Linked DNA regions of Lonchura striata. The protein of the gene in region 4 interacts with the protein of the main gene of each other region in a pairwise test. Links are inferred from orthologs where the notes say so. Each region holds a gene or a part of one and is shown on either strand. Other genes may lie near its edges. The genes, in order: LEPROTL1, CYB561, DOLK and EDA.

What was found.
Region 1: the proteins of EDA (region 4) and LEPROTL1 interact in binary tests that used the Homo sapiens proteins (3 or more experiments, as listed by UniProt). The two-hybrid records come from large-scale screens. The link is inferred for Lonchura striata from reciprocal best matches to the Homo sapiens genes EDA and LEPROTL1.
Region 2: the proteins of EDA (region 4) and CYB561 interact in binary tests that used the Homo sapiens proteins (3 or more experiments, as listed by UniProt). The two-hybrid records come from large-scale screens. The link is inferred for Lonchura striata from reciprocal best matches to the Homo sapiens genes EDA and CYB561.
Region 3: the proteins of EDA (region 4) and DOLK interact in binary tests that used the Homo sapiens proteins (3 or more experiments, as listed by UniProt). The two-hybrid records come from large-scale screens. The link is inferred for Lonchura striata from reciprocal best matches to the Homo sapiens genes EDA and DOLK.

Annotation. Positions count from the first base shown.
Region 1 is NC_134606.1:44,188,276-44,195,376, forward strand, and holds the start of LEPROTL1 (leptin receptor overlapping transcript-like 1), read right to left. Parts: upstream 3,014-7,101; 5' UTR 2,915-3,013; coding exon 2,899-2,914; intron 2,691-2,898; coding exon 2,615-2,690; intron 1,360-2,614; coding exon 1,173-1,359; intron 171-1,172; coding exon 54-170; 3' UTR 1-53. Other genes in the region: SARAF (store-operated calcium entry-associated regulatory factor), read left to right, coding at 3,195-3,270, 3,964-4,139, 5,355-5,745. UniProt on the Homo sapiens protein: Negatively regulates growth hormone (GH) receptor cell surface expression in liver. May play a role in liver resistance to GH during periods of reduced nutrient availability.
Region 2 is NC_134627.1:9,074,560-9,081,218, reverse strand, and holds CYB561 (transmembrane ascorbate-dependent reductase CYB561), read right to left. Parts: upstream 2,184-6,659; 5' UTR 2,178-2,183; coding exon 1,976-2,177; intron 1,807-1,975; coding exon 1,708-1,806; intron 1,634-1,707; coding exon 1,530-1,633; intron 1,453-1,529; coding exon 1,295-1,452; intron 711-1,294; coding exon 512-710; downstream 1-511. UniProt on the Homo sapiens protein: Transmembrane reductase that uses ascorbate as an electron donor in the cytoplasm and transfers electrons across membranes to reduce monodehydro-L-ascorbate radical in the lumen of secretory vesicles.
Region 3 is NC_134624.1:249,836-256,925, reverse strand, and holds the start of DOLK (dolichol kinase), read right to left. Parts: upstream 3,017-7,090; 5' UTR 2,975-3,016; intron 1,081-2,974; 5' UTR 993-1,080; coding exon 1-992. Other genes in the region: nucleoporin NUP188, read left to right, coding at 3,107-3,132, 4,838-4,892, 5,490-5,563, 5,785-5,869, 6,494-6,574, 6,976-7,020. UniProt on the Homo sapiens protein: Catalyzes CTP-mediated phosphorylation of dolichol, the terminal step in de novo dolichyl monophosphate (Dol-P) biosynthesis. Dol-P is a lipid carrier essential for the synthesis of N-linked and O-linked oligosaccharides and for GPI anchors.
Region 4 is NC_134616.1:5,473,879-5,480,935, reverse strand, and holds the start of EDA (ectodysplasin-A), read left to right. Parts: upstream 1-4,054; coding exon 4,055-4,333; intron 4,334-7,057. UniProt on the Homo sapiens protein: Cytokine which is involved in epithelial-mesenchymal signaling during morphogenesis of ectodermal organs. Functions as a ligand activating the DEATH-domain containing receptors EDAR and EDA2R. May also play a role in cell adhesion.

The DNA.
Region 1 (7,101 bases), on a different chromosome or scaffold from region 4:
TCTCATTTGTATGGATGGCCACTGCATGACAAGATGCCTGTGGATAGTTCTTTTCACCACTGCTGCCAGCTGAAGTCGTCATTGCTGCCAAAGACCAAGAAAAATCCCAGGATGGTGGCAAAGATGACTGTATTCCCAGTGAGAACGAGTGCACATGCACCCCAGTAAATCTGTGAACAGGGGGAATTCAGTTAGACACATTTGGAGCTGAACACTAACAAGACACTAGGTAACACCTTATTGTCCCATTCTCGACAAAGTTCAGTAACACTGAACCATGATGCAAGACGCAATATCTCATTATTTGCGGTCACACCAAGCAGGCTGGTGTAAATTACTTGACAAATTCACAGCCAGCCAAGCAGCACTGCAAGTTTCTTCTAGCTGTACTCAAAGCATTGGCTAGCAGGCACAACTGGTTTGGTATGCAAAGTAAGGCTAGACAACAGCATCAAACACATCTGCAGCCCAAGCCATGCTGTAAGACTTTTTATAACAGGTATTTAAGATCTTCAAAACGCCAGCAGATATCCCAGTAGCAAAAAAGGAGGTGGATGCTTTCACAGGAGAGTAAGTGGATTACTCAGAGGGTGTGAGGCATTCCAACTGCACATTCCATATGAAAGTGCACTCCATGTTTTTTGACTTGGTAGTGCTTTCTGAATTCACACAAACAAAGTGAACTTTTAAAGTATTTTAGTGAAAGCTGTATACTGGGAAATAAGTAATGAGAACTTGGAAGTTTAAGAAAATTATACCAATATCACTTCAAATATAATTTATGGTGAGTATAAAAATGCTTTTTTTTGTTTGTTTATACATGCTGCTTTAGCCCAGCTATTCCACAAATTGTCTTTGAAGTATTCTTTACACTTCTATATTTGGTTACTTCCCTGTAAAGTTTTCACAGTATTTTCTGTCTCATTTTCTCTGCATTGTATTGTTAGTTTATTCCATGACCATGTAAAGCAATTGGCAATCACAATGTTCTGCCACACTTCCATTTCTGTATTGATTTTTCTTGCCAAAAAAAAAATCTTATTCTGGTTCCAAAAGTACATAATTATACGTTATTTAGTGCATGAAAGCTTTACCTTCAATAAACAAACAAACACAAAGAACAAAGTTTTCTGGGAAGAAAAAAAGCAATCACAGGTTGAAATACTACTAACCAGTTCTGCTCTTGCAAACACTATGGGCAGCCCAAATGCTGAGACCACAATGCCTGTTGTAAGGAATATGGCCAGCTCCTTGCAGGCATTACTTGTAGCATCTGTGTCATCTACCAATCTTCTTGCTATGCAGTACGGGATAGGAGAGAGGATGTAAAAAAACAGAACAAACAGTGGCCAGTACTGGCTGAAAAAGAAAAGACAAGAAAAGTTTTAGTTAACTGGGTTTATTTCCTGCTCCTCCTAAAATCAATGCAAGGCATTTTCCCCATCAGCATTCCCATTTAGGAAAGACAGAAAAGCCCAGAGAAGCCAAATCCCTTACCTTGGAATGAACTGACCCTAATCTAACAGACCATGTGCACGAGTGGTTTCAGCTGACCTCAGCAGCAGCGGAGTTCACCAACAGGATATTAACAAATCAAGATTTCACTAAGCAAGCCTAAATCTAATGCCACCTCACAAGGAGAGCTTAACTCCAAGTTTATCCTGCCAGTTGTACTTAAGAGATACCCTTGAAGCACCCCAGACTAGATTTCTCAGGCACACAAACACAGGTGCACATTGCTTCAATAAAACTTTACTGCATTGTTTGAAGGCAGCTGCATAAGGGTCTCCTTCCCAAGGGTGTCACTAGCACTGGTTTCATAACAAAAGAAAGCTGGCCTAGGAATTCTAGTCATATATGTAGAAACTGCAATTCACAACCAATAACAGGTCTATCAACAGGATACTTGGTATTTATTCAACAGCGAATAAGTAAATTTAAAATCTTTCCTGTATAGGCAGCATTCACTTGCAAAGAGTCAAAGCCGTAAGCCTTATTATCTAAGCACTTGGACTGCTACTTTGTATCTCCTGAAAACCAAGAGATAGGAATCGATGTCAGGAAAGTACAGACAGCAGCTGCAATTACTCGAGATGCTGTACTGCAAGTGTGGGGCACAGCCAAGGATCGCATGATAGTCACCGACAGCCCAGCTACCCCTAGGCAGCCACAGAAAAAGCCAATCCTTCCCCGGATAACCCACACCTGCTGCCCACCTCGGGAGATGCTGCTGTCTGATGGCCAGCCACAGCGGGACACCAGTCCAGACAGTCAGGGCAATGCATCCTTTCACGGTTTGCAGCCAGGTCTAGTGGCTTAACTTTTGCTCCTTTGCTCTTTAGGATTAATTAAATCCTGGATAGTCTGTTTTTTTATTCCCACCACGATCTTCTGAATCAAAAGCCAAAAAAGCCCAACCAGCCAAAAAAAAAAAAAAAAAGAAAAAAAAAAAGAAAAAAAAAAAAAAACACCACCAAAAAAACCACCAAAAAACCCCACAAAAACCAGAAGCCCCTCCTACGCAGAGATAACTCATCAATCCACCATTATGGAAGCGGGACTCCTCTTAAGTTACAGCCGCAGGAAAAAGTAGAATAGAAAGAGTGCACGGTACTTGTATTGGGGCAGGGCGCATCCGAGCATCAAGAACATCAGTCCGACCGCTCCCCCAAAGGACAGGCTGATCAGCGCTACAACGAGAACAAACCCAAGCCACATGAAGGGGGCAAGGCACCGCGCACAGCACCGACCGCCCCCGCGGACCAGCGCGGGGCTCAGCGCAGCCCCGGCGGAGCTGGGACACTCGGGGTCCCGTGGCGGCTCCCGGCCGCTCCCGCCCGAGAGCCCGCCCGGCCCCTCCCCGCGCGCGCCCGCCGTTCCCGGCCGCGCCGCGCGCACCTTTGATTCCCGCCATGGCGCCGCCCGTCCCGCCAGCCGCGCGGCACCGCAGAGGCGCGCGCCGGAAGCCGGAAATGCCGCGCGGAAGCGGAAGCCGCTTCCGGCACGGGGCAGGGGCGTGCCCCGCCCCTCGCGGGCCGGCCCCGTGACGCTCATACGTGGCGCGCGCAGGGCCCGCGGCGGCAGCCCCGCCCCCTCGCCGCCCATTGGCCCCGCGGCGCGTTGGGGCGGGGCTTCCCCGCGCGTTCCGGCGCGAGCGCCGCCCCGGGCGGACGGCGGCGGCTCCCGGTGCTGCCATGGCCGGCCTCGCTCCGCGCCTGCTCCTCCTGCTCTGCGCCGCCGCGGGGCCCGCGCTGGGCTGGGACCGACCGGGTGAGACCCGCGGGGATAAGGGGGCTCAGCGCGGCCGCAGCCGCCCCTGCGCTCTCCGGGCGCGTTGGCGATTCCTCGCGGCCCGGCACCGCGCCGTGCCGCCGGTTAGCGGCGGCCGGCACGGGGAAAGAAGGGCTTGTGCCGGGGTCCGCGGCAGGAAGGTGTTGGGGTTCGGGCTCCCTCTAAACCGGCTCGTACGGCAGCAGCGATCCGCGCCGCGGTCTGCGGCGGTGTCTGCCTGCGAGGGGTAGCCCAGAGCCGCCTCGGACGGAGACGGGGAACCCTGCCATGTTTCCCTCCGGGCGGCTGGTGCTTCCTAGAGCTTCGACTCGTAAACGTGCAGGCTTACTGCTTCGGCCTCTGTGGCCAGCCTTCTCCTGAGAGGAGGCCCTGGTAGAAAAGAGGAGTGCTCCTGCACAAGCTCTGACAAGCAGTAGGAAGAAATTTTTCTCAGGAAGAGTGATCAAATATTGGAATCGGCTGCCCAGGATGGTGGTGGAGTCACCGTCCCTGAAGGTGTTTAGGGAAAAACTAGACGTGGCACTCTGTGCTGTGGTCTGGTTGACATGATAGGGTTCTTTGATCGAGGTTGGACTCGGTGATCACAGAGGTCTTTCCCAGCGGAATGTGGGGAAGCAGACTGATGTTTTCATCGTTGGGGCAGTGTGTGAGTCTTTGTGCTGCCTGTTTCAGGGAAGGTTCTGCTGCGGGACGTTCAGGCACTCACTCTCCACCGAGGGCAATACACAACATCCAGGCGGACAGCTTCGATCCCTCAGCTGCAGTGCACAGGAGGCTCTGCGGGGTGTTCCCATGCCCCCGAGGTTGTTCAGTGTTACAACAAAGGATGGGATGGCTATGATGTACAGGTAACTATTTAAAACTTACTAAACTGTTTATGAAATCACTTTCCCTCAAGTTGGTAAGTTCTGAAGGAGCGAAGAACAGTGAGCTAGGTTGTCAGTAAGATGCTTTTTGTTAAGATGAACTCTTGTGCTGAAACTTAACCTAAATACTTTTAGGTTTGGATTTTTGAGAACTACTACAGTTATGTGTTTGATCTGTCTTTGAAAGAGCTAATGTAAAAGTATGACCTTGGTTGGTTTTAAATAAAATGGTGCTCAAGTTTATAAAATCAAACTCTTGCAAACTCCAGAGGATACTTTTTAATTATTATTGCTGTGTGAATTTGCGTAGAAAGGGCTTCTTAATATTTGATTCACTTCAGCTCTACCTTTTAAAAACTAGATTTCAGACTTGCCTGACTTTCATTTGCACCTTCGGATGTGAGTGCTAGTCAGTAAATTCTTGACTCTCAGCTGTTAAAGATGCTGTTGTCAATACATAACCAGGAATCAAGGCTGAAAGTAATTGCTAAAACTGATTCAGTATTGTGAAAGAACAGTCAAATGTTAATTGGCAGTTGGTACTGCTGTACTGAATTACTAATTTAGAGACAACTAATTTCTTATTTCCTCTCCAAAATGCATGTCATGTGCCACTAGAGATCCCTGTGTTTGGATACCTCAAGGGAATGTGAGCCTGGGGATCCACCTGTATTCGACCAGAGAATTCCCAATATAGTTGTTAAATGTTGCATATAGATGCCTAATGATGTCTGTCCCAGTTTCTTTTGATTTCTGCACAGACACAAATGGACACAATGGTGCACTGGATCTCCAGCTCATGTGTTATGTTTCTGTAGCTGCCATTGAGTTTGCACAGGACAGGCATTTATTATGTAACTGTTGCACAGGGTACAGCACATTTTTAGAAGTATTGCTGTATCTTAGGAAGGGATATTTGAAAAAGTGTCCAGTGAAGAAAAAACTAAATCTTCCAGAGCTGAATTCTTCAGTGTTCTGAAAGATAAGATATTTCTTAAGTTTTAGGATTTAATGTTCATTTAAACATCAAATTCCTACTCCTTTTCAAAATAGGAGCACACGGAGATTTCTTACCTATGGCCTGTAGATGATTTGTTAGCAATTACTGCTTTATTTCAGGGCATATGTGGGGAAACAGACGGATGTTTTCATCTTTGGGGCAGTATGTTTTACTTTTTACTGTGTTTATTTTTTCAGTGGCAGTGCAAAGCAGACCTGGAAAATGCCTACCGTTTTGGACAAATGGAAGTGAGCTGTGAAGGCTACGATTACCCAGATGATCCTTACATACTGAGAGGCTCCTGTAGTTTGCTGTTCAAGCTAGAGCTGACTGCAGAAGGTGAAAGGAAAATGAAGAACTCTGGAAGCTTTGGCTCTAGCTATTACCAGTCAAGGAAAGATTATTCTGATTTTGGTTCTGGAGCAATTGTTGTAATTGTTCTTCTCGTTCTTGCTTTTGGAGTATACAAGTTCTTCCTCAGCAGCCAGCAGTCTCAGCAGAGTTCTGGGGGCAATGATGGCTTCTCTCGGCCCTTCTGGCAGAGTCAGCAGGCACCTCCTCCTCCTGGTTTTAAGTCCACCTTCACAGGTAGGGCTCTGAGCCATTTACAATATTCAAACGAGTGAGCAGGATTGTCCTGTTTTATCTGCGGTAAGGGAAGGTGGGATAGAGTTAAACCACAGCATTTGCAGGCAACTGCCCAACTGGCTGCAGAGCCTACGGTCAGCTTTGTATTCTAGAAGGTCTTTGTTCAAAAGAGGAAATAAGAGCTTGGCTTTCCACAGGCTGTTGTGAATAATTATATTTATCCATCCTTCCCAACATCAGGCTTTCAGGGCAGGCTGGCCCTTTGAACCTTTGAAAAACTACCTCCCCATGCTCTGCAAGCATTCTTTTCATCACCTGTGAAATAGCAGGATTGTGACTGGGAGAAAAATTGTCATAGGCAATCTAGAAAAGAGAATGTTCTTACACAGGCAGAAACAAACCCATGCCAAGGGAGCACTCTGAAACTTTACAGAACAGCCTTTCAGCCCTGATTTCATTCACAAAGCAGTTGATGGAGTGAGTATCATGTACCAGTCCTCTGTTTAACAGGGCTCCAGTGTAGTCCTAGCAGCTGAAAGATTTGGTTCCCAGAGCAGAGAACAGTGTCTATGAACAGTTGTTAGAGGGTACAGCATCTGAATCTCATGTGGGGCCTTTCATCTGAAGCTGAAAATTACAAAAGCAGAGACAGGGAAAAGAGGCAATTTTTCTTTTCCCAGAAAACTGGTGACTTCTGTCATATAATAAGTGATCTGCCTTAGGCTGTCATAGTGTCTCAGGGAAATAAACATTACTCATCTGGTGTCTGACTAATTTAACCCTGTAAACATGCAAGCTGCTCACAGCACTGGAACTTAAATTACATTCTTACAAGTTACATAATTTTTTTTCTCTTTTTTTGTTGCTAGAGAAGGGGTTTTGGCAAGAAAATATGTAGCAAGAATTAGGTTTATTAGTTGAAAGTTTATATTTTAATAATGCTTATTAATGCTTTCTCTGAGTTTTGTTCAAATGGCTTGGCCAACAGAGGGTGCAGTATAATTCTTTTGGATTGGGCATGCACAGCAGAAGCTTTCAGCTGTACCTGCACCAGAAAATTAAAGGGAATCTGCTTCTGTTGGCTTTGCAAATTGTTTTGCATGTTTGTGTTGTGTGGGCATCAGTGGCCATATGTGGGCATAGCACTGGCTGTACTGTCATGGTCAGTAGGAGCCCTGGCCATGACACACAGCTCTGTCACACTGGGCACAGGAGAAACAATGAAGGGTTATTTAAATTTTTTTTTTCTGTTCAGTTCCGTGTCAGTTAATTGCCCCAATGCATTTTTCTTTGCAGGAGTCACAAATCTAGCAAGGGCAGGGCCTTGAGAATGTTTTCTTGAGGATTGCTGAAAAC
Region 2 (6,659 bases), on a different chromosome or scaffold from region 4:
GAACCTGCACAGGCACAGGGTCACTCCAGACTGCCAGGGAGCCCTTTAGGGGAGCGTCCTCTCAGCGTGGCCGTGCTGGAGGGTGAGGGGCTGCCAGTGAGTGGGACATCCTGGTGGTGGCAAACATCCCCTCTGTCCGTCAGCACTGAGAGCAGCCTGTAGGCTTTGGCCGCCCACAGTGCAGAATCTCTACTCCCGCTCCGTCCCCAGAGCAGGGAGGAGGAAGAGCTTGGAGACCCCTCTCCTTCGTGCCCCTGCCAGCCCCTGCCCTGCCCACAGCACTGCCCTTCCCACAGGGCTGGGGTGGGTTTGGGAGTCACCAGGGCCTGGTCTGGGCAGAGCTTAGGATGATCAGGACCAAGCTGAGTCCAGCGGGCAGCATTGCACCAAGCATGTCCTTCTCCAGCTGTCCTTGTCACCCAGGGCTGGGCAGAGATGCAAACACCAGGGACAGGGTGCACAGGAACATTTCAGACAGGGAGCCCATGCTGGAGACCAGGAGCTGCGGATGTCACTGGCTGCCACCACCAGGGCTCTCTCCCTCGGTCAGGGTCTTGAAGTCCATGGACAAGGCCAGCTCCTCTGCCAGTGGTGGGCGCTTCCACTCCTCCCGTGTCAGCACGTAGCCCACCACCAGCCCAAAGGCCACCAGCAGCACCCCCAGGGTGTTGGCCAGGATGCCCTCAGGCACAAAGTGGCTGTAGGAATCACTGCAGGGATAGAGAGGGATGCTCAAGCTTTGAGGGATGGGTGACCTATCCCTATCCTGGCTGGGACCCCGTCCTCATCCCCATCCCCATCCTTCAGGCACACACCATGGGGAAGGTTCCTTCCCCACATCAGAGCAAGAGAGGAGCATTTGTGTTTTGCTCACTTTTGGGAGAGACGCTCGGTGACAGCAGATTAAACTGGTGGCACAGTCCTGTACTAGGGCTATAGCAGCCCAGTACCCTCCCTGCTGGAGGGAAGTGGCTCCTGGGGTCTCTGCAGTGCTGGGTCTGGGGGTGAGCCCAGTGTGCAGCTGCAGGAGCAGAGGTCTCAGGGACGCAAGTTCCTGAGTGGTTCTGCAAACACCTGGGTGCGGGGAAGTGGCACTGGGCATTTTATCCACATTCCCAAAGAAAGCTGTTGTAGGATATAGCCCCTTGTTAGACTTCATCTGGTAAGTGACTCAGCAGCAGCAGAAATAGAGACCTCGAGGGGAGATTTAAGAGCCACAGACTGAGCAGGGACAAGGACATCCCTCTGTTGGAGGTCTGGGGGGCCACCCCCTCTCCCCAGTTCAGTCACTCACCTGATTTTGAAGAGGAGCATCTCAGTAATTCCCAGCAAGCAGGAAGTGATGGAGAGGATGAAAAGGGTGATGCCAAAGAAGATGTGCTGGGGCTTGTACCACCCTCTCAGCGAGAAGGAAGCACCAGGGAACAGAAAGAAACCACAGCCCAGGAGCCACTGTGGGGACACGGGGATGTCATAGGCACTGCAGAGACCCATCCTTGCAGGGGGGCCAGGGGCTTCCCACCCCTTACCTGCAGGAGGTAGAGCACAAAGGTGGCCATCCCACACCAGGAGTGCAGACTGTACATGTCAGAGATGCCCTTAGCCCGGTGTGACTCGAACACAGCGATGATGCCTGCGGAGAGGAACCCGTCACCACCAGGCCTGCATCCTGCCCCGTCCACCCCTCTGTGGCAGCCCAGCACTCACCCACGAGGGCGATGACCAGGGCCAGGCCATGGAGCAACGCGTGCAGCGTCTTGGTGGAGCGCTTGGCCTCGTGCCTGAACACCCGGTACACCAGGAGAGCTGCACAGAGAGGGTACCTGAGCATCCACAGGCATCACCCAGCATTGCCCAGGGATGCTGGTGCTCCTTCCCTGTGTCTTTTGTCACCACTTTGTCCCCTTCGTTCCCTGCCTGACCACAGCTTTGGAGGCTGCGGCTGGGACAGGGCACGTCCCACCGTTCTGCTCACCGTCACCTTGGAGGAACACCATACCCAGCACCATGCAGAGGGGGTGGGCGTTGAACTGGAGGGGGCTGTGCCAGGCCACGCCGCCCCGGTAGCGGCCCAGCCAGGCACCTGTGGTGGCCAGGAGCGTCAGGCCCAGCAGCTGCGACACGGCCACGTAGGCCGAGAGCCCGGTGGGGCTGGTGGGCGGCGGGGCCCCGTCCATGGCAGCCTGCAGGGACAGAGAGGAGGGGCAGCGAAGCCACAGTGGCCCCGAGGGACAGCAGGTCCCTGCTGGCCGAACCTGGGGTGAGGTCCTGCTCCGAGCAGCGTCCGTCACCTCTGCTCCACCCTCACCTGCCGGAGCCGGACGCTTCCTGGTCTTGCTGCGTCACCCACACCTGGAGGTGGCTCCCAGCCTCCGTGGCACACCCATCCCCGTGCTTCTGCACCTCCTGCCTGCTCCTGGACTCCTGTCCAATCCTCCCATCCTGCCTGCCTGCTCCTGTCCTTCTTCCCAACCCTCCCGCCCCTGCCTATGCCCTGCCTGCCCCATTCCTGCTGCCCCAGCCCTCCTGCAGCAACCGTCCCTCCATCCACCCCCCTCCATCCTTGTCCTTCTGTCCCTGCCTCCATCCTTTTCATCCCCATCCCTCCAACATTGTCCCTCCGTCCCCATCCCTCAATCCCCATCCCTCCCACTCCATGCCCATCCCATGTCCCACATTCACCCCCTCCCCAGGCCCCCCACTCCCAGACCCCCACAACAACCCTCAAATCCTTAGAGGAAGGAAGTACAAGGGTAAGCAAGGGACTCCTCCCTGATAAAAACAATGGCCCTCGGGGACGTGGGGCTGAGTGACCATCTGTGCTGGCGGGGGGACAAACACATGATGTCACCCAACCACAACTACACCAGACCCTTCCCATGGCCCCCACAACTCACCTGCACTATGCTTTGTGCTGAGTTATCCCTCAATGGACCGGAGCCACCTCCACCACTGTCACAGCCGCTTCTCCTCTTCCCTGGCACCTGGAGCCAGCAGGTCCCAGTCCCCAGGGCCAATGTCCCCGCTCTGCGCTGCCTCTGGGGAGGAGCCCCCCACCAGCTGTGGCAGACGGACCCACGATGCTGCCAGGACTGGGGGAGCATGGAGAGGGGAAATGCATTAAGGCCATGCACACACTTTATTCCCAGCCACCTTTATTGGATCAGCCAGATAAGTGGGTTAAGCGAATTGGTTTATCCCATTAAGTTGCACTGCAAAGGCCGCCTGTGTCCAGCCTCACTGCCTGGGGCCATGGGGTGCTCTGTGGGATGGGCAGGGAGACCAGGCTGGGGGGGACAGTGAGAGGCACCAGCTCCCCCCATATCACAGGAGCCTTCCCCAAACTCTCATCACACCGAGGGGCTGCTGGCACATCTGAGGGCTGCAGATGGGGGACCCATGTATCCCTATCCTGCCCTCCCACCAGATGCAAACATCTGGCCCTGCTGGCAGTCCCACAAGGCAAACACAGCCCCCAGCAGCACTGAGGATGGAGGGACAGGCAATGAACCCTCCCAACCACAGGGCCTGACAGCAGGACACAGGGCATGCCTGTGGGAGCAGGATATTCTGAGTTGCCCATTAGCCACCACTGAGTGCCGGAAAAACTGGAGGTGACTGGACCCCTTCCAGGACCTACCTGTTCCCCTCCCAACCTCTGTCTCCCCTGCAGTTCCAAGCACATCCACAGTTCCCCCTTTACAGGGCAAATCCATTGCTCCTGACTTGCGGTGGGGTGTTTTCTCCGGTGAATCCCATGCCCTGGGTGGGGAGGATGCACCTTCCACAGCCCGGCAGCCCCTCACTGTGGCCTCTGGCTGGGACTCTCCAAAATGCCAGGGGGGTCTCAGGGACCGTGTCTGCTCTCGGTGGGGGTATATGCTCATGCAGGGAGGGGATTCTCTCCAGTTCATAGCTGAGAAAGGTCTGAGTGACAGACTGGAGGGGTTGAAGGCAGATACCCGCACAGCTCCCCTGTGTCCCCCAGCCCTACCTGTGGGTGCCGGGTAGCGCTGCCTGTGCCGGGCCCAGCGGTGACAGTGCCTGAGCAGGGACAGGGACAGGGCCACCGCGTTGGCACGGCAACGGAGCGATGACAAAGCGAGAGGGAGCTGCACCCCAGCACAGCTGAGAGGGAGCGTGTCAGGAGCCGAGGCAGGGGGGCTGCAAAAGTGAGAGGGGGATTGTGGCAGACACATGCTTCTCTCTCTCAGGATTTTTTCATAGAGGAGCACAGAGAGAAGAAAGAGAAAACAATTTCTATTTCTGCTCCTTGTTTTTCCCATGTGGAATGTGTTTGGAGAATTGTTTACCTGGGGTGATTGCTTGATTGGATTCTGGTGAGGATTGTTTGAGCCTGATGGCCAATCCAACCCACCTGGGGCTGGGCTCTGCCGAGGATCACGAGTTGTACCGAGTAAGATGTGGAAATTAGAAAAAGTAGGTTTGTAGTTTTAGTATCTCCTTTAAATAGTATAGTTATAATACAGAAATCATTCAGCCTTTGGAACTGGAGTCAGACATCACCATTTCTTCCCACTGGGTTCACCTGCATTTCCAGTAGGGGATCACCACAAGCAGGGTCTGTGTATTCTGGGGACAGTCCCCAAGGAGGTAAGTTACCAACAGTGTCTGTGACACTCCACACCCCCTGTTCCAGGCACCCACCTGAAGCCCTGCACCTGGAGGCACCTGAGCCCTGAACAGGCCAGGATGCACCAAGCCCTACCAGGCTAGCCCGGGGACCCTTCCCTGCACAACGCCAAGGACTGTCCCCTGCACAGGGGCCTGGTCACAATTTAATTTGTGTTTGGGCTTTGCATGGGTCTGGCTCATCCCTGCACCCACCGGCAGCCCTGGAGTGACGTCCTGGGAAGCAGAACCCCTTGGCTGGGCCGGTGGGTCGGGCAATGGCAGAGGGGGACAGCAGCCCCCGACCTCCATCCGCCGCGCCCTTCGAGCACCACCGGGCACGTCCTGCACCCCCAAGAGAAACCCCTGAGGGAGAAAAAGCCTGCAGACAGGAGAGGAGGGGAAATAAGGTGAACTGGGGGAAGAGGAGGGGGTCCCCATCTCAGCTTTTCCTGGCCGAGTGCGGGCAGGGCCCCCGGGCGGGCAGCGCTGCGCACGGGGGCGAGCAGCACCCCCGGAGCACCCCCTCCCCTGTGTCCCTGTGTCTGTCCCTGTGTCCCTGTGTCTGTCCCTGTGTCTGTCCCCCTCTGTGACACCACTAGATGTCACCAGGAGCCCGCGGCGCGCAGCGCCCTGGGGAGGGAGGGAGCGCCCCGAGGATCCGGAGCATCCTCGGCCCTGGATCACCCCTAGGAGACAGACACCAGGCACGGACCGGGTAGGAACGGCAGCAGCCTTAAAGCTGGACCCCCAGAAGGACCCGGGGCACCCCGAGAGCCGGAGCACCCTGGGGAATCGGCGCGCCCTTACTCGTGATGGGGTTCACAGCACCCTGTGCCCTCAACCACCCATGGGAGCTTGGAGCATCCTGGGACTCGGAGTTCCTGGTGGGATCTGGGGCTCCCGTGGCGCAGAAGATCAGGAGTAACAGCCTCTATTGAGGTGCCTTCTCTTGGGCGCTCGAGTCTGCTGTCACCCACACAGAAACCCTGAGTAAAGGCACCTGATGTCCCAGCTGAGACCCCCACCAACATCCCCGTTCCTTTTGTGCTGCGAAGCGCCGAAGGTGGGAGCGAGCACCGCCGCCACGACACGATTCAGCAGAACCGAAACCCCGCTGCAGCCCCAGAGCCTGTGGAGACCTGACACAGCAGCAGCAAAGTCCGGGGCAGAGTCCCAGGGCCACCACCCGAGCAGAGGGAGGGAGGTTCGAGATATGGGGTATGGCACTGCCAAAGGAGTCACTGGCACCACCCAGCCTGCACTGGGGCTTTATCACTGGTTAGAAAATGATTTATCAGAGTCCTCTGCTAAAGCCATAAAAGCCACCATAAACTGAAAACCTTCAGCCATTGGGATCTGCCATGGCTGAGATGGGCTGGCCAGGGGGCTTGGCAGAGCAGAGGGAGGACTCCCCCCACAACAGCCCAGCTGAGACCCTTGGAAAATCCATAAAGGGGATGAGATTTGGGGATTCATCCTTTAGGATACTTGGCAAGACATAAAGCTTCGCCCTGATGAGAACAGCACTGTGTAACCCAATACCAAATAGGTTTAGAAATGTTTATAAACATATGTTCAGCTGAACTATCTCAACTTCCAGCAGACAAGGAAAGACAACGGCCCTTAAGCCTTCAGGATTAAATGGAGGTGGATCTTGTCCCATCCTTGCAACAGGAAAAATGGCAGTGTTTGCTGAGGGGCCATGGTGGCAGCCAATCCAGGGACAAATGAGCCGCTTCCCTGCTGAGTTCCTCTTACCAGGGAGCAGTGGCCATTTATAATGAGCTCTTTAATTAAAGGCATTGCCAGGGGCATAATGGCTTTATTAAATCTGCTTTAGCTTTCCCCAGGCTGGAGGTAATGAAATCCTTGCGGTACTGCTGGCATGGGCATGTGTCAGTTAGGGACCAGAACCTGTGCTGGCTGTCCTGGCATGGACCTGCCGGTTGAGGGGATGCTTGAGACCTCCTGGGCCTCTCAGGGATGCTGAGAAATGTTCAGGGATGTTCAAGGCTGCTCAGGGA
Region 3 (7,090 bases), on a different chromosome or scaffold from region 4:
GCTACAACAATGAAGTGGAAATATTTCCTGGTTATAGTCGAGGCCTGGTGTTTTTTAGATTCAGATGATCTCTTAGCATTCTGGTAGAAAACCACCCCACATGCTAAGGCAGCCAAGAAAGTCCAATACACAAGGAGGTAAAGTCTTGTCTGTGTCTGAAACAGAAACTGGAGCAGCCAGAACAAAGGGTTCCTCTGGATCAGTCGGTACAGCCACGGCATGATGACCCCTAAGCCTAACACTGCTGTCATCATGTGGAAAAACATGGAGGAGATCCATGTGCCTGAATCCATGAAAATGAAGAGCACGGTGAAAAAAAGACCAAGAAGAACAACTCCAACAACTGCTACCAGAAGGAAGAAGTCAGTGGGATCCCCTCTGCCCTCGATTACATTCAGTGAGCGTTTAATGAGCTGGTTGAGAACAAAACTTATACCTCCGAGAACCAGCAGCGCTTCCCCGGGAGTAAAACATCGAGGCAACAAGTACAGCAAGATCATACTGAGGTAGACGAAAATGAGCAGCACTTCCAGAACCTCTATCACTTCGGAGACAGTCAAGGAATGTTTCATGGTGTAGATAATTACGCTGCCAGCAACACCAGTCAGGATGCAAGTGTTGGTTGGCACAGGTTTGGTGATGCCAACCGCCAAGACGGACAGGAAGAGAGCGAGCAGCATTCCCGTGGAAGCCACCACGATGCCAAAGCGCTCGAAGTAGACGATGCCGGCAGCCCTGCACCTCTCCTTCATCACCACCCCCAGCAGGGGGATGACCATGCTGGCAGGCAGGAGGCCGCTGTTGGCTGCACCCCGGAACTGGAAGACAGCCCCGCCCTGCTGCAGCAGCCAGTCCCATTTGAACTGGGCGTAGAAGGCCTGGACGGCCAAAGCCACGGCGCACCAGGAGAAGCGGTCCCACACCACCGCGTGCACCGCCAGCACCGCGGTGAACACCAGCAGCGACTCCACCAGCACTGCCCTGTTCGACATGACTCCAGCCCAGCCTGCTCAGGCCTGCACAACTTCACCAGTCTCAGCTGCCTGTTAGGAAGAATTCCCTTCCATGCTACTGCAATTGCTATTAAAAAAAAAAAAAAGCAAGCAATTAAAGCAACTACTTGGACAGCTGAAGTGTTTGCACAGCTATTTGGTTCTTAAACTCAAACTCATAGTTAAGTGCTAATTGCTAAAGTCAACACACAGATGAATTAAAAAAAAAGTGAGGTGAGTAAATCCTGCAGTTCATCTTCTCTAAGTGAAGGCTCACAGCTCACTGACAGCTGCAAACCAAGCTTTGCTTTAAACGTTTGGACTGGAGGGTAAGCAGTTAAGATAATCAGCCACAGGCACATTTACTCTCTTAGGTTAAATCTCATCTTATCTCCCTCAAAGAATTGTGGGCATTGACAACACTGACAGCTGCACTGCAAACCAAGCTTTGCTTTAAACGTCTGGACTGGAGGGTAAGCAGTTAAAATATTCAGCAACAGCCACATTTACTCTGTTAGGTTAAATCTTATCTCCTTCAAAGAATTGTGGGCATTGACATCATTGTGCAATTCTCACCAGCATTTATTGCTTTCTGGTGACCCTGATTTCTCTATGGATACATCATTTGATAATGGGCCATATGTAAACCTCTACCATTACACTGGCCTCTCTTCTGGGGTCTTTGAAGTTCTCCTGTTCTTTATGTCTATTGGAAATATTATGGTTGATCCAGCTGTGAAAAGGGCTTACTTTATCCCTTCTGGACCACCCTTAAGCTGATTAGCAGCAAAGTCTTACTAAATTCTGCTCCCCCAGTCTCAATGCCAGTATCTACATCAGCTCCCTCATGGAAGACCAGAAGTTTATTTAAGGTTCTCTTTTGGGTTTTCAGCCAGTGTTGAATGGTGACACTAGATTACAAAGCTGACAAAGTAATAGCAATATTACTGAGAAATTATTACAGTTTGTACTGTAAAACTTTCTTAGCGTGTCTGCAGTGTTTAGATATTTATAACCTTGTACTGAAAACTTACTGATGGATTGCTTTTTGGCATCCTTATTCATATAGCCTGAAATACTTGATTGCCAAACACCTTCATTACATGCACTGTTGCTACACAGCTCCTTCAGGCCAAATGTCATTTCTTGTCATTGCAATTAATTTTTAAACAGGAGAAGAATTAATCATACAGTCAATAAACCAGAACTGGTCTGGGCAATATCTACCTCCAACCAATAACAGTTTTTGGGTTGTACTCCCTGCTGTTTCTGAGCACTGGGGAGGGGGAAGCCTAAGGCTTATTTGAGAAGAAGCAGAGTAAATGCCACCTGCCAGCCAAAGACAGAGTCCTCCTACTCAGTCTGGCAACCTTAAGGTTGCACCCCAGCTCCCGTATCGATGGCATTACAGCTTCCCCGCCGGGCTGCAAGAGTAGGTAGAAATTCACCCTGCCTGAGGTCTCTGATGGAGCGGCTCTGAATGCTTAGACCTGACAGTCTATATTTCACTAATGAGTTATTTCGTTTTCTTGTGCCTGCCGCAATCCCCTCCTCCGCACCTTCTTTCAGGTACTGTGAAGCTCCTCGGCACTGCCGCTCTCATCATCGAACGGGACCCACCGCCCTGCGGATCGAGCCGGACCCAGCGTTTTCTGCCCGTCTCCTGCTCCGCATGCCGGCTGCTCAGGGCGGGGAAGCTTCCCACTGACGTGCTGCCAAACATCCGGGCTGCAGCCCCTGATTGCTCCCTCTCTTCCCCACGACCCCGCAGCGTTGTGGACGCCCCTCAACCCGCGGGCTGCCCGCACCTGCTCGCCGCCGCCTCCTGTCCCCCTCAACCGCGACACCCACATCCCAGCCTCCGCTACTGGGAACGGCATCCGCCCGCGGGCGATGCCGGAGGCGCTCCCGGGTGGTTCCCGATTCCAGCGCGGATCTTGTGCTCCGGCCCGACCGCCCCGGGGAGCCCAGCCCGCACCCACCTCGCAGGGCGCCGCCATCTTGCCGCGCCGCCAGTCACATGACCCACGCGCGGGGGCGTGGCTTGTGCAGCACCACGTGACACCGGCGCGGCGGAGGGCGGCAGCCCTGGGTCACGTGACAGCGGAGCGAAGATGGCGGCGGGCGGGCTGAGCGCGAGGTGCGGGCCGGGGCCGCTCGGGCGGAGGGAGCGCGGGGGCGGCCTGGGAGGCCCCGGCTGTCGCTGCGGGCGGGCCGCGCTCCGCGGCACCGGGGGCCGGGCAGGGCTGTGGGGAGGAGGCGCAGCGCGGGGCCGGGAGGTTTTAACCGCGGCGGGGCGCGCGCCGGGCTGGCCCCGCCCCCGCCCGGCTGAGGGACCCTCAGTGAGCCCCGGCTCGGGCGCCGGAGCGAGCCGCGGCTGCGGCGCTTTTGTGGCGGGGCTCGGCTCGGCCCGGCCCGGCCCGGCCCTTCCCTACCGGGACCGGCTGCGCCTCCCGCGCCGCTCCCGTGCAAGTCAAAGTAAACGCGTGGAAATGAGTGATGGAAGTGATTTAATCAATCCCGAGTTCAGTGATCATCTTAGTTCAGTGGTTTCGTTTCTCCAGAGCACGTTTTTTGTCATTTATTATAACGCTTTTATGTTCTGGAGTTTCCCTAGTGTCTAATTTTTATTAAATTAATGATACCGCTGTTCGTTGTGGTCGTATACAGAGAGCTTTCCTCCCTTAGCTGTCTTGGAGCCTTATTAATGAGGGGACAACAAACCACGGTCTGTTTTATTCACAGGAGATTGTGAAGGAGTGAAAAGTAGGTGGGTTGGCGTTGCTAGGCTGGGGCTCAGAGCTGACAATAAGTAAAAAAATGTGTGCAAGGCAAATGAAGGCACTGATCTGACATGATCACTGGACCTGGGATTCATTGAATTGCCTCTTTCACATTGCTGTTCAGTTCTTGGTAAATACCTGGGTCTTTGGGTGCTCTGCGTGGGCTGGAGAGGCTCATGGCAGAGAAGTGCACCCAGCTATCGAGGAATGAGCAGGGAGGAATGATGCTGATGGGTGTGCTGGAAATAACAGGTGGTGTCATTCATTAAGTGTCACCACATGGCAGAAGTTGCAGATGACTTTCACTGCCACAGTGAGTTATTTTAATAATGTTATTCTAAAAATAAGGCAATGAGTGTTCTTGTGTAGACAGTCTTTGTGTGAGGAGTTGGGGTGTTTAAATCCTCATTTGTAATGTGTTGTTAGCAAATCATTGTTTGTCTAAGTGAAATACTGTTTCTGGCAAATATCTTTTCTCTGTGCTGTTGTAGGGAGACTTCTTTTAGAATGCATGTGCCAGGGTCAGGGTGTGATCTGTAATTTTTATAATGCAGGTTGGCTTTTCTACAGAGTTCTCATGAAGAAATGACAAGCTGAGTGTAAATGTTCTGGTGTCTGTGCGAAGATGGTGGAGTTTTTCACTTCATACAGTTTTATGCTCTGCCTAGACTGGAGGATGAAACTGCTGGAAAAATTTGTTTGAAGGAGAGCATTAAATGTAATAGTAGAATACTGCTTTATGCTTCTATTTTCTTCTTAGGAGCTTTAAATCAAATTAAAGTAAAAAAATCAAATTGAGCTGGTAATCTGATATCAATGTGAAGTTTTGATGTGAATTCACAGGTCTTGCTGTGTCAGTTGTCACCTCTCTGGGTTTTTCCTTGGTTTTTCTAGGACATTTGAAACTCATTAGCTGGAAGCTAATGTGCCTTAAATAATTTTTCTTGCATCGCAGTGTCATTCACTGTAAGTTAATTGCAGGTTTGAAAAGTGTAAGCTAGATGGAAGCCTGGAATAACATTCATCATTAAAATGCTCTCCACCTTTTCCTTGTGTTTGCAGGAGCAGCAGAGAATTATGGACAATTTTGCTGGGCAGATCAGCTTTAAGAGAACCAGTAAGTTATTCCCTGCAGAGCAGGTTTGGCCATCACTTATTGGGCTCCATGGCCAAACACATCATTTGTACACTCTTTGAATATTAGTGAAAATATTTTCTGCTGCCTTTCCTTCTTTCTCAGCATGATTTTTGTTCCTGTACCTCTGCTACTTGTTTATTCTTCTGTAAACTGCTGGTTTACAGCTGCTGCATGAACTGCCTGGAAGGGTGTATGGAAAAGGTGGTTCCTTTTCTGGAGTGGGCACAAGTGCTGCTGCCTGGTTTGCCCTGGGGTGTTCACGTGTGGTACAACTGCTGTCTTATATTGAGGGATGGAGCCTGTGCTTTCAGGAATTCGGCCAGAGGTTGAGAATCCAAATGTTTGTAAATCCAGTCCATTGCCTCCCTTTTCCTCACCCTCCCTAGGAACAGGCAGTGCAGCTCCCTGCCTGTTCAGTGCTGCATCTGGAATCACTCTGAGCCACAGACACCAGTCTTGTGTTCTTCCTGCCTCTTTGTGCTGGTGGAATTTCTTTGCTTTGCTGAAGTTTAACAGGTGTAATATTTGGTAATGCACTTTGAGGAGTCTGTTCAGTGGTGTTTGGTTCTGTTTTAGGCTCAGATTGCTGCAGAGTTGAACAAGCACTGGCAGAGGCTGTTAGAGGGACTGTCATACTACAAACCACCGAGGTACAGTCACTGCCTGATTTTAGAAATTAATCTCAAATGTGGAGTTTCCTAGTAAGTAAAGGAAGGTTACAGAATATTGTATGAAATATTGAAAGGTCACTGAGGAAGAAGCAAATGTTCAGTTTAGACTGATAAGAGTGGAGAACTTTAAAATTATGCCTATTTAATTTTTTCTTTGAGATTGCTGTATTTTTAATGACTAAAATTTCTTTTCACTTTAGTACGACTTCAGCAGAAAAAATTAAAGCTGATAAAGATGTAGCCGCTCCACTAAAAGAGTTGGGTCTGAGAGTCAGCAAGTTTTTGGTGAGTGAAGCTGCTCTTGGATTATTTTTTATCTCTGGAGTGAATTGTTACAGGATTCTGATACTGAATGACTTCATGATGTTGAATAGAGAGACACTTAAGGTCCTTTCAGTTCAAAGTAATCTAAAGGATGTTGAAGTACATCTGAGGCTCTAGGTCAAACTTCCAAAGTGGTGAGTAACTTTGAGGTGCTGTGGTTTTCCTGGTCCTTTTCAGCAGCAGCAGCCACCTGCTATGGGTCTGAGTTGGGTTCTTCCAGGCCAGCTCAGCTAAAAAACTGATGTCCCTTAAATCAGTTGCCTTGTTTGACAATCCTCCAAGTTTATCTTCAAAGTTTTGTTTCTTTAAGCCAGAAGTTTAGAGTTCAGTGGCTAGTGGTACCTTTATTTAAATGACTGATGCTCCTTTAGCTGAAGTTAAACTGCAGCTCAGTGACATTAAAGCTTGTGTATTTGGCTTTAAAAGAAGGGCTTATTAAAGTATCTGCCTGGTGCAAAAATATTCTTTTGTCGTGTTATTTGTTTTGAAGATAAGAGAGGCCTGAGTATTTGGAGAGAATCTTAATCTTTAATGAATTCTGTTGCCTTCTATTAATTTCTGATAATTTCTCTTTCTTCTGTTCAGGGTCTGGATGAAGAGCAGAGTGTGCAGTTGTTACAATCTTATCTTCAAGAGGATTACAGAGGAACAAGAGACTCCCTGAAGGTCCATAGCTCCCATTTATGTTCTATTTACTCCACATCTTTCCTTAATAACAGTTGTTTTTTGATGCAAATGGTCACATGTGAGTCCTGGTTCTGGGGAAATGGCTTTGTAGCTTTTCTTCTCCGGAGCTGCATCCAGGCTTATCTCTTCCTTCTTGGATCTCTGCAGGAACTCAGCTCCTCTCTCTGTCACAGGAATACAGGAAAGCTACAGATTTGTGAATGAGAGTGGAGCTGGAAAAGAAATACGTAGTTAAAATGAGTGGTTTGGCTTTGTGCTTTTGGAATCTGTCTTTCCAAATGAAAGAAAAATTGTCTTTTATTTTAGTCATTAAGTGAACATGTATTTTGTCAGTAGGCATTTCTCCAGTAGCTATTTATTTTGTTGTATTTTGTTTACAGACAGTTCTTCAGGACGAGAGGCAGAGTCAGGCTCTGATGCTGAAGGTTAGTAATTTCCATTTGTATTTTCTATGGAAAAGATCTGTTGGCAGCAAACCTACTTTATTTCTGTGGA
Region 4 (7,057 bases):
CGTATCCTCTTTCCCTGGCACCAGCACAGCCCGAAAGTGGCACCCCCAGGACAATGCCTTGGCCGGCTCCGGCGCTGACCCGGGATGTGGGAGCCGAGGGGTCGGGATGAGGGGGCCAGGAGGCACCGAGGAGGTTGAATAACGTGGTGTGGAATATCATTGTTCCAGCCAGGATGAGTAAGAGCACAGCTGAGCCTGGTCACCGACGGCACTGCCACGATTCCGGGGGAGGCAGGGGCTCGGAGACGGCTGCACAGTTGAAAATCAAGACAATGAGTCTATAAAAGTTTAAGAACTGAATAGATCCCGAACATTTGGTTTTCATTATCACCAAATAACATATAAATAAACATACAACAGAACCAAGAGCAGCATCTTCCTCACCCCCTCTGCATGAAGTTGTGTTTAGGCTGAGCTCGGGCTCCTTGGCCAAACCTCCTCCCAGGATGGAATCGTGGGGCTGCCAGGCCCCATCTTCCTTCAAAACACAGCAAAGCCTGATCCAGGCAGGAAAATGAGGTGTCAATGTGCTGCTGCTCCTTAAAAGTCAGCAGTGCAGGGGGAAATGTGAAAATAAGCCCAGCAAGAGTCAACACAGCTTTTTTTTTTCTTGTTGTAAAAAGCCCATCCCACTGCCTGCCATGGGCAGGGACACCTTCCTCTATCCCAGGCGGCTCCAAGCTCCCTCCATCCTGGCCTTGGGCACCTCCAGGGATGGGGCAGCCACAGCTCTGAGCAACTTAGTGTTCATTGTGAGAATTCACAGAGGAAGATGAGAGGGAGAGATGAGTGATTAGAGACACTGCGATGTCCTGAGAGGGGAAAATTGTTGAAGAGTCCCTGACAGAGCAAGGAAAAAAGCCATGAATGTGATTCCTTAGAAAAGCAAGATGAACATATTGCTCAATCCCTGCCCCTGTGGAAGCAGCTGGACACAGTTACCTTTCCTGCATGGCCAGAGCTCACAGTTACTGAATAAACAAGCAAAGCAGATTGTATGGAACATCTTAGATCTCACAGAGGAAGAGGAATTGAGACTGCAGTGCTGGATGGAGGCTCCATAAAATCAGGATTCTCCTTCCTAAGGGCTTGTAAATGCCTGTGGATGTGCAGTTGGAGTGCCAGGATTTCAGGTTTTAGGAGACTTTATTGTACTCGTGTTGTTGAGAACATCACTGAGAGAGCAAGGGATGGCTTTCCTCAAAAGAAAGTCAGGAATTCCAAAGCTTTTAGGTCACACATGTTAAACTGACTCTGCAGCCGCTGCAGGAATTGCAGCTGCTGCCAAAATGTAAATGGGAAATGGGCTCAAAGCTGCTTTACATCACTCGAAGATTCCCTGATCTGTGGAATTCACATGGAGAGGGGCACTCAGACCTGCCACCTGTGCTGTGCAGAGCTGTACCCCTTCCAAAGGCAAGGGAGATCTCCTGAGCTCCAGCAGCTTCCTCCCACCTGTGGTTAAATCCTGCTGGGATGGGAAGGCAATGCTGGAAAAAAACCCAGCAAGCTTGGGAATCAAGAGAAAAAATCGTTCCAGACATGTCCTCTGTGTGTTCTCCTCCTCTGCAGCCTCTGCCCACCCTCCCCAGGACCCTCGCAACTGCTCCTTGTTTTCCCATCCAGAGCATCAGGGATCTCTGTCCTTTCTGCATCTTCCCCACCCTCTGGCTCCTGCTTCTTCTGAACCAGGACTCTTGGAGCACAGGCAGGATACAAAAAACAGCTTAAACCTGTGAGGTTCTTTATCCATGTAATTAAGTTTTTCAGGAATGGCAGAGGAAGAGGAGGGAATGCTCAGAACAAGAGGAATTAAAAGAAAATCCTGGAGAAACTGGAACCATGGGCTGTGAGGTTCAACTGGTCGGGTGTGAGGATCTTATTTATTAATTATGTATTAATTCCATCATCACATGGGATTCTTTTTTAATTAGTGGGAAGCTGGTCAGCTCTAGGAGACAGAAATCCCTCAGTCTGAGGATTTGGCCTAAATCCCTGATGAGACTGAGGCAGGAATGGAGAGCTCACATCTTCCCCCAGACCCAGCCCCAGGTTGACCTGACCTCTAAAATTCACCTTCAAAGTAACCTAAATGACTCTGGAAAATGGGATGAGGCTGCTGCAAGTGTGGGTAGGTCCATGTAGGATTGGGGTTGGGGTTTTCATCTTGAAAACCAGGATTCTGGTGGTGCAGGAGTTGGTCTTGGTGATCCTTGCAGGTCTCTTCCAACTCAGGATATTCTGTGATTCTCTGAAGACCAGTAACAACACTAAGCACTCAAATAATTATAAATGTTCCTAAAATAATTGCAGGGGTTTGAACAGAGCGTTCATTTGTGTTTATTTGCTTTTTGCTCCTCCGTTGTTGGGGTTGGCAGCGCTTGATGCTTCCAGTTTTGCTCTTCCCAAATATTAGGGAAACATTTCTTTCTTAAATGAAAACAGAGACTCTCATGGAATTTCATGTCTGTGACACAGGACTTATAGGAAAAAAAACCTTACTGCAGGAAAACAAGGCCAGGAAGGGCTGGAAAAGGTCATCCTCCTCCCCAAAGGCAGGACAAGGCCACCATGGGATTCTTCATGGCTGTGATCTGTGGCATGAAGACCCCACAAATTCTCAGACGATGTGTTCCAGGCCTTGGAAGGGTTTCTCACGGAAGGGACAACCTCATGGGAAACTCACCCTGCCCCCAGGTCTGGGAGCACAGACCTGGCACGGGACCACCCAGCTCTGGGAGCCCACCCAGGGGGTTCAGCAGGACCCATGGCAGGGGCGAGCCGGTGACAATCCTTGGTGCTGGCCCTTCCTGGAGGTCTGGGGTTGGCTCTGACATCTCCCTGCACTGCTGACCCCTCTGCATCTGTGATCCTCCAAAACCAGCTGGAATCCTCCTCTGCAGTGCCACCTCCTCTGCGGCCATTAACACCTCGCATTTAACTCCTCTTTTACTGTTCCAAATCACATCCTATCCTCTTCATTCCACCTCTCAAGTATGTTCAGAACATCTCTAATTCCTCAATTCAAATTTCCTGGCAGCCTGTGAGCATCACACAGCACCTTCATCATCTCATTATCCCTCTCGTTATCAATTAAACCCCCTGATTGGAAATAGAACCAGCACAGGCTTTGCCAGCTCCTTTTGATGAGCTTTAAGGTTCTTCCAAACCAAACCAGGTGTGATTCGATACCACCCTTCCCTCTCCAAATCCGCTCCTCTCCCTGGTTCACCCTTTCCCAGGTTGTTTTCCAGCTTCCATTAGTCTCCAGCAGTGACAACCAACCTTTAAAAAGCTGGAGAGGGCAGCGACAGCTGCCCCAAAATGCTCACACACCCCTGGGCACCCCGGGCTCGGCCGTGTCCCCGGGCAGAGCGGCGACAACGCTGCCCCTGCCCGGGAATCGGCGGCGTTTGGTGCCCGCTCTCAGGAATCCTCCGCTGGCTGCGGAGACAGCGACTGCCGGGACGGACCGGGACCGGGATCGGGTCCATCCATAGCGGGACCGGTATAGGGTCCATCCATACCGGGATTGGGATCGGGATGGGAATGTCGGCCGGGACCGGGACAGGGCCCTCCTGAACCGCGCTGGCCACGGGCCCAGTCATCACCGCGCCTGTCCGTAACAGGACAGGGACAGGGATAAAGGGCCGGGATCGGGACTGGGACCGGGATCGGGACCGGGATCAGGATCGGGCTCGCAGCGGGGCGCGGCTCCAGCCGATGTGACTCCGCCCTCTAATTTGCATAACTCCGCCCACCGCGCTGCCGTCGCTGCCCAGGCCCCGCCCCCTCCCCGCCCAGGCCCCGCCCCCGGCCGGACGCTGAGGCGGCGCTGCCGCACCGAGCCCCGCCCGGCCCCGCCGAGCCCCGCCCGGCCCCGCCCGTCCCCACCGAGCCCCGCCGGCCCCGCCCGGCCCCGCCGGCCCCGCCCCCGGGCCGGCCCCGCCCCCTGGCGGGGCGCTGGCGGCCCGGCCGCGCAGCCCGCGGTGCCCGGCGCGCCCCGGGAGCAGCAGCGCTGGGGCCGCTCCGCGCCGCTCCGCCCGAGCGCACCATGGGCGCGGAGCGCAGGGCGGCGGCGCCGGCTCCCCGCGGCTGCGCCTGCGGCGGCGGCGGCGGCAGCTGGCGGCTCTTCCTCGGCTTCTTCGCGCTGTCGCTGGCGCTGCACGTCCTGACGCTGGGCTGTTACCTGGAGCTGCGCTCCGAGCTCCGCCGCGACCGCGGCCCGCAGCCCGCGGCCCCGCCGCGCCGGGACGGGACGGCGGCGGCGCCCGGAGCCCCGGCCGGGGGCCGCCCGCAGCGCGCGGCCGAGGGCGCGGAGCGGCGCCAGCAGGTGGGTCCGGCCGGCGGCGGGGGCACCGCGGGGGCTCCGCGCCGCTCGGGGCCGCCCCCCGGCTCCATCCCCGCGCTCGGGAGCCGCGGCCCGGGGCGCTTCGGAGCGGCCCCTCGGGGGAGTTTGCTGGGAGAAGTGGGGAAAAGCCCCGAGCTCGCGGTGCGGGGGTGAGGCGCGGGGGGAGCTCGTCTGGGCTGGGGGTGACGGGCTGCGGGGCCGCCCGTGTTCCACCTGCTGCTCGCCGTCTCCTTGTCGCGACGGACCCGCCGTGAGTCCCGACAGCGCAGCCTTGGCCGGGGGCAGCGGCTCTGCCCCGGCGCTTGCGGGGTGCCCCGGGGCGCTGCTGCCGGGGAGCCCCGCACGGCTCGGCCCCGCAGCCGCCGGACGCGCCGGGTCCCGGTCCCGCACGGCCTCCGCTCGCTCCCCTCGCTCCTCCCGCGCTCAGACTGCGCTTCTCCCCCAGCCCAGGTGCTTCATCTTTTGGGCGATGCCTCGGTGTCCCCCCGCAGCAGCCGCTCAGCCTCTGCGGCACAGGTGGGCAGCAGCCTCCCGGTTGTCCCCGCCGGTGTCCCCAGCCCTTGCGGGGGTCGCCTGTCCCGAGAGCCTCTGGGAGAGCCGGAGCGGAGCTGGGGCCTCCTCTCGCAAACTTAGCTCATTTTTTCCAGGCACGAAACTTCGCTGCGAGCAGGATAAGCTGGAGGAAGGAGTTTCCTCCCCTCCGAGCCTCCCGAGCGGATGGCCCGCTCCCCCAAGGTGCCGGGTGGCTTTGCCGCGGAGTCTCAGCGGGGTTTCGGGGGAGATGCCAAGCCCTGCCTCGGCACCCCGGCGGTCCTCGCCCGGCCGGTTATCAGTGTGTGGGGGGAAGGACAAAAATAGCTTTGATAAAGCGGCGAGTTTGGAACTCTTCCTCTCACTTGGCAGCGGGAGCCGTTCCGCCGCGCCGGCCTCGGCTGCCCCCGGGAAAGCCGGGCTTGCGCTTCCTTCGCTGCCTGGATCCCGCAGCTTCCCGTGACAAATCCAAGTCCAGCGTTGAACCGGAGGGAAGCCGAGCTCCCGGGTCATCGCTCTGCCCTCGCTGCTCCTCGAGCGGTGTCAACACAGAGCGAGCCGGAGCGGTTTGATGTCGTGCTGGGATTCCTGGGTTGCCTTGGAATAGCGCGCGGCTGGAGTGCCTTTCGTGTTATCGTGCTGGATCTGTTTAGTCTTTCGAGCTCTTCTTTCCAGCGAGTGTATAGTGAAATACCAGGGCAAATACTTGAGGCATTCATAAATTACAGCGTTAGATAATTTGTCTCTGGATGCGGACGGAGCTCCGAGCGTCGCTCGCTGCAGCTGACGGACTCCAGATAAGGTAACGCTAATTATTTATTTCTTTATTCTACATCTGGCCTGTCAGGCTTGAGATGAAATATTCTTTGGGGCACATTGAAGCAGTTGGGCTGGAGGGAAAGGTTGCTGGTAGTGGGGACACGGGGAAGGAAGGCTGAGCATCCCGAGCTGCTCCGCTGCTGTGACAGCGCATGATTAATGGGGTTTGTAGTGGTGCTGCTCACCCTTTCTCACTGATTTTTCTGCCTTGCAGCTAAAAACAAGCACTTTGGGTGTCCTGGGGTGCTGTGAGTTCATCTCTTCAGTGATTAAAACAGTGAAATCAGGGGTTTGCAATCAGCTTTATTTAGAAAGTTATTGTCCAGCTTTGGGGTACGTGTGGGGTTCCCAGCAGCCCTTCTAAGCTGTGCTGCTGATAAACTCAGTGCGATCCCATACATGTGATGCTTGCATAAATTGGGCTGAAATTACTAAATAATTAATTCAAGTGATGTGATCAATGACATTTCTCTCCTGAGGACCATGGTCAGAGTTCATTTGCGGGGGACCAATGACCACAGAGCTGTGAGCCCTCAAATGTCCTTCAGCTGCTGAGGTGTCCTCAGTGAAGAGGCCGAGTGCTGTGTGTGTTGTGGTTGTACAAATTTAAACCCAAAAGACACTCCCCTTCCTGACCCTTTTTTCTTTATTTTAAAATTATTTTATTTCCCCCCTCCCTTCCTGACCTGAGGCAGGAGGAAGAGGAGCATGGGGGGGAGGACGGGGAGCGATGGTCAGCGCTGAGATTTTGGCCAAAACCTCATCTGGCCGCGTGCCAGAAATGACCTCATGACAGGAGTGAGATTTGGCAGCTCGATAACGCCCCGCTTCCCTATCTCACAGGGTATCCAAATATGTAACTCATTTGGGATAGAAGGGCAGATTTTCATGGCAGAGGTTGAGGCATTGTAGTTGCACATCTTTGTCCCAGAACCCGGCGGGTGTTGCATCACCGCGTTGGCTGCGAGATGAGGAGTTTGTTAGAGCTGCTTTAATTCATTGACTCTTCAGTGGCTCGGAGGTGTGAGGGAGGGTTTGGGGAGTGGTGGAGCCTCGGCTGGTGGTATAAAATCCAAATGTTCCCTCCGGATGGGTGTGCTGTGGGATGGGAGAGGGATTCTGTCAGGCGGGCTCTGCTCTTGGAGATCCACATCAGTGCACTGTGTCCCTTTAGAGGATTTTGTGCCTAAATTAAATAGTATTTTCCTGTCAAAAAAATAATCCTTGCAATATTTGAGTTGTGCAGAGCATCATTCCCATGCTTTTCCTCCAACCAAGTCAATGTGCTGCCACATTTCTGCTAAAACTTGTGTTTTTGGCCAATGCTGGGTGACATGTGTGCTCTGAGAGTGTCCC